Linked DNA regions of Ovis aries. The protein of the gene in region 2 binds, or shares a complex with, the protein of the main gene of each other region. Links are inferred from orthologs where the notes say so. Each region holds a gene or a part of one and is shown on either strand. Other genes may lie near its edges.

Region 1 (3,803 bases), on a different chromosome or scaffold from region 2:
TTGGCCAATCGGCCACAGTAAAGAGCAGCGAGGTAGTCCAGGGGGTTGGTTCCCGGTGAGTCCCATGTGCACGCGCTTACCTTTCCAGCAGGTCTAGTCGTAGCTGCCGGCCATGGGGGAGAGTGAGCAGCTCCATGCCCCAGCGGACTCCCATTAGGGTCTGCATCTCCTTGGTAACGCCCAGTATCCTAGCAACCTACAAGGACGCCCAGAGGGCTGATTAATTTCCTGTCAGGGCTGGCCCAAGCCATCTGGGAGTCAGAGAGCTTTATCTAGCAGGGCAGCCTGGCTGGGAAGCCGGCTTTGAATTCCAGGTTTATGACTAACCCTCTGACATGGAGCAAATGAGTTTCACTCTCCCCATCTATGAAACGCAAGATAAATGGGAAAATGCCCAGTGGGGTCTGACATGTGCCAGAGGTGCCCAGGACACTCTTATTCCAGAAGAAATAAGGTCCAGGGAGGGAAAGGGCTTGTCCTACATCACACACTGGACCTAGAACCCAGGGCTTCTTCCTTCATGCCTAGCACTCTTCACAGCGCCACATCTCAGCACTGTTTCTTGTCTTTCTTCTTGAGCTCAGAGACAAGTGTGACCAAATAATCAGTGTTCCCCTCCCCAATACGCACACACACACACACACCAAACTTCAGAGGGAGAAACTGAGGCGTAGATCAAGTTAGGGTCCTTAGATGGGCAGGATTCATTCAAAGCAAAGGCTCAGGCATTAACAATTTATGGACCTAGACAATGAGTTTTGTCCACTAGGTGGGTGGGGGTGGGGAGTCCAGCCTCTTATAGTCCCTGGACCGGCCAAACTGACTCTCACCGAGCTCAAAAAGTGTCCTAGGGAGCCAGACACCACTAGTTTTCAGGACTCCTCAGTTCCAGTGCCAAACTGACATCTGGAGGAAGCAAGAATATCTCCGCTTTTGCTTTTTTTTTTTTTTTTTCCAAGGGGAAAATGGGAGCCCAGAGAGGTAAAGTGCTTAGTCAGAGGCACACAGCGAGTAAAGGGCAGCCGTGAAGTTAGGATCCAGGACCAGTCGCTCTACTTAGGGATGTGGGGGTCAGCTCCTCACCACCCTGACCCCTGTCCCAAAGCCAAAGGACAGAGGTATACCCCTGCCCCAGTGCGCACCCAGCACCTACCAGGCAGTCAACCTTGGTGACGTGCCGGGCCAGTGTCCGGGCATCGACCTCTGCCAGCAGCTCCTTGACCTTACGCAGGAGGCCCACCTCCAGTGGCCGGTTATCCTTGGGGATCAACAGTGACTGGAAGGTAGCCGGGTTAAAGGAAGAGGTGGCTTCCACAACAGGGACTGTGAAGGTTCTGCCCCAGTCCCCTTCGGGGGCCCCATTTTCTGACAGTTCCTTAAGCTTTTCCCCATAGCTTCTGGCCTGGCGGCCAGAGGCTTCAGCTGCCACCCACTCTCGGCTGCCACGGACAGGAGGCTGGAGCTGGCAGTAATGGCCAGAGTCCGGGTCACTGTAGCTGCTGAGCGATGGTGATGGGGAGGCCTTGCAGAGGGTGTGGGAGGGGCTGGAGTAAGGGCCCTTGTCCGACTCCCCGTGGGGCTTTGGGGCACTTCCGGGACACAGCTGGGGTTCGCTGGAGCGGCGCGTGACAGGGGAGGCGGGCAGCGCTGTGGCGGAGGGGGCGGCAGGGGCGGCGTGGACACGGGTCACTGCAGGGAAATAAAGACAGACAACTAGTTACCATGACTCCCTAGCCAGTGTGGTTCCCCCACCGCTTTCCCAGAGGACAAGCTCCACCCACCCTACAGGGCTAATATCCTACCTCCCTGCACCCAGGCCAGGCCCAGCTGACGCTGGCACATTGACCAGCCCTCAGTGATATTCTCAAATTCCCTGGACCCCGGGGGGTCAGACTTTCTTACCCTAAGGCTGCTGCAGCCTTGGGGAACCACTGAGCTACTTGAAGGAGCTTTCTGTGATTCAGAGAAGCTAAGCACTTGCTGGAGTTCACTGTGTGGAATCATTTCTCAATGAATTAATAATAAGGATTTATTGAGGACATGTGTTCTGGGAGCTGGTGACATGCTGGAGCTACACCGGTCAAAACAGTAAAACCATCATCCAAAATTAGAGGTGATGTTTATTGAGTTCTAACTGCCTGCGAGATCCTTCTCCGCCCCTTAATCTGTTTAACCCTCTCAACATCCTGTGCATGAGTACTTTTATGATCCTCATTCTACAGATGAGAAAAGTTAGACTCAGAGAAGCCAGCTGACCTGCCTAAGGTCACCCAACCGGCAAAGGGTAGAGCTGGGATTCAAAACCAGGTGTCGAATCCTCACTCCTGGGTACTTCCCTGTGCCACATTGCTTAGAAGTTGTCCAATAAATAATTTGTGGCACAGCGTCTTAACATTTACACTCAGCGGTGTTGTTTGGAAGGCAAGTTGGCAGTTACGACAAGCTGGCGGGCCCATGGTTAGAGAAGAATTTGTGACAACCCATATGGACAGCTACATGGCAACAGGGCATTTCCCAGCAAAGGTTCCCCTGGGCTGACCCTCTGCACGCTTTGCCTGCCATGTGGACAATATGTGGTATGGCCTGTTGAAAACATTATTTTTTTTCTTCCAGAAATGAACATGTTTCATTCAGTAGTGGCATGTTTCTACAGTAGAAATAATTGTATTTTTTAAAAAGTGTACAGTGCTCTCTGCTTTCTGCTCAATTTTGCTGTGAATGTAGAACTTCTCTGAAAAGATCTATTTAAAAGAAAAAATAAATAAATAAAGCAAGCTTGACCAGTCCAGTTGAATCCCACCATTTGGAATCAGGGATACATTAAATCCCAGGCAATACAGGGCCTGGTCAAGTGGCTCCTCACTTGTTACCAGACTCAGTAACATTCAAGAGAATGCATGGAAACCACATCCACGGTGCCTGGTATCCAACAGGGACTCAATGAATTGTTGCAGAATGAACCAGCCATGGCTATGTTTTGCATGTCAACATGGATCGTTTTAGTATCCACTGTTGCAGGGCATGTCTCTCAGATAAGAGGAAGAAGCACACAGGATCAAACACTGTAATGGAAATCGTCAGACAGTGCACATGTGGGCACACGAGGCCACTCCCACCAGACCCCCCATGTGCCCCCCTCCACTGGCCATACCGGTACTATAGGCAGGGGAGCTGGGGCTCTCGGAGATGGGAGACATGGGCGAGTGCAGGTCTTGGATCTGGTCCATGCTGAGTGCACAGTTGCGGATGGATTCCCGAGGGTGGGGCAGTGATGTGCTGTGGAGCAGACACCTTCATGAGCAAGGAGCCCAGAGGTCAGGGTCCTCAGCTAGCATTAGGACCCCCACCTCTGCCTCCATCCTAGATCTGCTGAACTTCAGAGGCAGAAAAGGCTTAGAAATGATCACATCCAACCTCCCACCTGGCAGGTACAAAAATTGAAGCCCAGAGGAGGAAGGACTTGTTCAGTCTACAACCTGTACAACTGTTCTCTTCCCTGGGAACCTTGCCCCCAACTTGGAGAATGGCCTGGGGAGAGAGGTTAGCAAGAAAGATGGCCAGGCCAAGGGAGCCAAACCCACCATCCTGGTCTCTCCTCACTGATCCCACACTATTACTCAGGATGCCTTGGGCACACATGGCTTATAGATCCTGGCACTGTTTTATCACTGGTTCCAAACCACAGGCCAAGTGGTTACTCCCCACAGGGTATCCAACCAGCAGTTCCTTGGCTGACAGCACGCAGTCCAGGCCCAGGGAAATGGGACCTATCGAAGTGCTGAAGCAAGCACGTGAGTGCTAAG
Region 2 (3,803 bases):
AGCCGGGCCCACTGTCCGTCACTTCGCTGTTCTCCCTCTCCTGCTAGGATCTTTGCTTTTGCTTGCACTTCAGGATTCACCTCCCCAAACAGGACAAGGCGCAGGCGCCAGACAAGCCCTGCCCTTGCAGGTGACTGGCAGCCATCCCTGGGGGGCGCTGCAGGACCCCTGAAGGTGCGGCCACATGGGTCCAAGGGCCTGAGACAGGGAGGGTGGGACTCCAGGGGCCCGGCTGGCCTGGAAAAAGAGAAGCGCCCAGGGGCTCACCAAGACCTGGCCGGGCCCCATGCCTGCCCCTGGCCGTGAAAGCCTGCTGGGGGTCAGGGCCCTCCCCAGGCCGGGCGCACCCACCTGCAGGTGCACGTAGTCATAGTCCTCCATCCAGCCCCCCTCGCCGCTCTCGTACTGCCCGTCAGGAGAGTCCTGGGAGGCGAACTTGGGGGGCGAGGGCAGGGGCCGGGACTGGATGCTGCTGGCCTTGTCGGCGGGGGTGGGGTGCAGGGGGCCACCCCCCTCCGGCCCTGGGACAGAGGCCTTGGTCCGTCTGAAGAGCAGCGAGGCGTTGCCATGCAGGAAGGAGGCCAGCTGCTTGGCGTCCTCGGGCACCGCCCGCGAGCAGGCCACCAGGCGGTCCAGGTCTTCGGGGGTGGCGCCCAGGCCTCCCCGGCCGCTCTCGAGGGCCTGGCCGTGGGCCACCAGCGTCTGGTACACATCCTCCATCTTCTGCAGCTGCCGGCTCAGCTTGGCGTGCAGCGTGCGGTCGGAGGTGTGCGTGGCGTTGCCCACCGCGCTGCGGGCGAACTCCAGCAGCTCGTGGACGGCTGCGTGGACGGCGGCCACGGCGGCCCGCAGGTCCACAGCTGGAGGCTCCTGAGGCTCGGGGGGCCCACGCCGGCCCCCGCACCCGCCTGCGCTGCCTGCCAGGTCCAAGAGGTGGGCCACGGTGGCACTCACGCCCTGCTGCAGGCGGGTCAGGGCCTCCACGGCCACCTCCAGCTCCAGGGGCTCACGGCCCGGCACCGCCGCCTCCAGGGAGGAGGCCGACTGGCTGCTGCGGGTGCTGCCGGTGCTCGAGGCCGACAGGCGCTTGGCATCGGCCGGGGCCTCCCGCTCGGCCGCAGGAGGCACCGAGTACACGCCGGCGTCTGCCGCGCCGCTGCTGGCCGCCTCAGGGGGCAGGAGCCGCTCCCGGGGCACGTCGTAGAGGGCGCCGGGGCCGGGCCGCCGCAAGCCTGGGGGCACGTCGTAGAGGTCGGGGGCCGGGGGCGGCACGTCGTACACCTCCTCGGGCGGCGGGGAGTCCGGAGGGGGCGCGGCTAGGACCAGCGGGTGGCGGGTTGGGTCGAAGGGCTTGGCCTTGGCGAAGGCGGGGGGCACGTCGTAGGTCTCCTCACGCAGCAGGGGGCCGTCGGGCACGTCCTTGCTCACCGAGGGAGGGACATCGTACACCTGGGGGCCGAGAAGCGGTCACGGCTGCCCGTCCACCTGCCCCCCCCCCCCCCCCACCCCCCACCCCGGACCTACGGGTGGACCCAGGCATCTGTGCACACACAGCCCTGCGCTCGAGGGCCGCAATTCTTCCTGCAGGTTATGCTTCAGAGCTCGACTCTGGGGCCAGACCAGAGCTCAAAATCCCGGCCCCACCACTTACTAGCTGTGTGACCTCAGGCGCTGGGTGCACCTCTCTGTGCCTGTACGCTGGCCTAGGAGAGAACGCCCTCACGGGTTTATTGTGAGGACTACACGATTTAATTCTCTGTATAACTGCAAACACGCAGGGAGAGGTCAGCTATCACACCACTACCACCCCGACCTTCAGTACCACCACCACGGGGGTATTTTCTACTCTATCTCTACTCTTTGTCTCTTGGTCGTATCCGACTCTTTGTGACCCCATGGACTGTAGCCCTCTAGGCTCCTCTGTCCCTGGGATTCTCCAGGCAAGAATACTCGAGTGGGTTGCCATGCCCTCCTCCAGGGGATCTTCCTGACCCAGGTATCCAACCTGCACCTCTTACGTCTCCTGTATTGGCAGGCGGGTTCTTTACGGCAGATATTAGTAGGTGGCTGAGCCACCTGCGTGCTGTACTCAGGGTGCTGATGCCCTGGTTTGCCCAGGACAGTCCTGGTTCACGCCCGAGGCCCCTTCTAATTATTCATCCTCCTCCTCGCACTCTGAGAAGAATCCCCGTTTGGACGGTGCATGCTGTGGTCCCCCTGCCATCCCATGTGACCCTCTCAAGAACCTCCTGGAGAACGCCCTGCAGAGGAAGGACCCCTTCCCTGATGAGGAAGCCGAGGCTCGGAGGGGCGGCTGGTTTCCACCCCCATCACAGAGGTCCTGGAGGCAGGTCTCTGGAGCCCCTGCTCTGCAGGCCCCCGCCGCAGGGCGCACACAGTCACACCCAGCACCCTGTGCAGCTGCAGCAAACCCTCCATGCTCACCGCGTGGTGGCTGGCTGGCAGCAGGCCCTTCTCCACACTGGGGGGCACGTCGTACACATCCAGCGAGGGGTCCCGGCCATTGGGACCCTTGACGGCCATGGGGGGTGTGTCGTATACCTGAGGGCAGGAGAGGTGCAGTAATGCAGGGGCCAGGGCCACCTGAGGGCAGGGAGGTGGACCCCAAGCTGCACCCCAGGGCCTCCCCGGCCGGGCCTGGACAGCACAGCACCCTGGGCAGGGGGAGGATGGGACCCCGCCACCAGCCCAGACACCCACCTCCTGGCTGCACTGGCCAGGCAGCAGCCCACGCACGGGGGGCACGTCGTAGATGTCCTGGGGCCCGGGGGCCAGCAGGTGGCGCGGGATGTCATACTCGTCCTGCTCGGGAGGGGGGGCCTCGAACACGTAGCCCTGCCCCACACGGGTGGGCACTACCACCTGCGGGCAGACAGCCACCCGTCACCTCCAGCCCTGGAGACCAGCCTCCATGACCCCCTCAGGGAGATGCCACCGCCTGACGTGAGCAGAACACACGCGAGGGGCCCCCAGAGCAGAGGGTGTGCACGTCCCTCGTAGTCCTCGCCTTCCCGTCAATGAAGCAGCGCGCGAGGACTACAAGGACCCCACTGTTGGCTGACAGCCATCTGGTGTGGCAGGACACAGGAGAGGAGTCCACAGCCCAGTGACTCACAAGGCTCCAGAGGCACCTACACGTGGGCTGAGGAGGGGGCCGCCCCTGCCCGGGGTGCCCCTGCCGATGGCGCCTCACAGCAGTGCTGTCCACAGGGCGGCCTGCCTGCAGGGCTGTCCCCACCAGAGGGCCCGGCAGCCACTTTCCGGCTCCAGACAATGAGGGGGGATGGTGCCAGGCGGGAGGAGGAGGGGGCCTGCAGGGGATCCTGGGGGTCAGGGCCTGGGGCCTCCCCGCCCTCCTTGTCCCCCACACCCCTGGGGGACTCCTGGGAAGGGGCCACTGAGAACTCCCAGCGCCCAGAGCCAGTTCTACTGCAAACAGCAGGACAGAGGCTGTTCTGGCAAGTTGTGTGTGGGTGTGAGGAAGGATGGAGACCGGAACCAGGAGCCCTGCTCCCACAGCACCACACCCCCGGGGCTGCAGAGACCAGCCTCCACGCACCCGAAAGCACAAGGCCTCGGCTGGGAGGTCTCCCCTCCCGGTGCTCTTCCCTGGGCGAGCTGGCAGGCAGCCCCCCCTGTGGGGCACCGGCCCTGCGGGACTGGTGGGCCCCGGATCTGCTGACCGGGCACGGGCACACTTCCTCCACACGGCTCCCAGCTCACCCCTCTTGACAAAACGCCCTTCTGATCCCTAATCAAACGGAGGTCTGGGACGCGGTGAC

Evidence for each region.
Region 1: the proteins of BCAR1 (region 2) and SH2D3C are in contact, whole or in part, in a crystal structure (PDB 3T6G), measured with the Homo sapiens proteins. The link is inferred for Ovis aries from reciprocal best matches to the Homo sapiens genes BCAR1 and SH2D3C. Residues at the interface, in NP_055382.2 of Homo sapiens: Ser739, Gln742, Phe746, Tyr747, Gln750, Asn754, Val779, Ser782, Lys783, Ile786, Leu787, His790, Val793, Phe794, Ile795, Asp797, Thr798, Arg801, Gln802, Ser816, Asn817, Cys820, Leu823, Arg824, Val827, Lys831; in NP_733745.1 of Homo sapiens: Thr543, Val544, Pro545, Val547, Gly616, Val617, Arg618, Glu622, Thr625, Leu626, Pro627, His628, Leu749, Leu752, Leu753, His771, Gly772, Val773, Glu774, Val776, Leu777, Leu780, Glu781, Ala783, Arg784, Ala787, His788.

What each region holds. Positions count from the first base shown.
Region 1 is NC_056056.1:8,464,739-8,468,541, reverse strand, and holds part of SH2D3C (SH2 domain-containing protein 3C), read right to left. Parts: intron 3,277-3,803; coding exon 3,152-3,276; intron 1,690-3,151; coding exon 1,154-1,689; intron 197-1,153; coding exon 81-196; intron 1-80. UniProt on the Homo sapiens protein: Acts as an adapter protein that mediates cell signaling pathways involved in cellular functions such as cell adhesion and migration, tissue organization, and the regulation of the immune response.
Region 2 is NC_056067.1:2,063,242-2,067,044, forward strand, and holds part of BCAR1 (breast cancer anti-estrogen resistance protein 1), read right to left. Parts: intron 2,884-3,803; coding exon 2,722-2,883; intron 2,563-2,721; coding exon 2,446-2,562; intron 1,450-2,445; coding exon 352-1,449; intron 1-351. UniProt on the Homo sapiens protein: Docking protein which plays a central coordinating role for tyrosine kinase-based signaling related to cell adhesion. Implicated in induction of cell migration and cell branching. Involved in the BCAR3-mediated inhibition of TGFB signaling.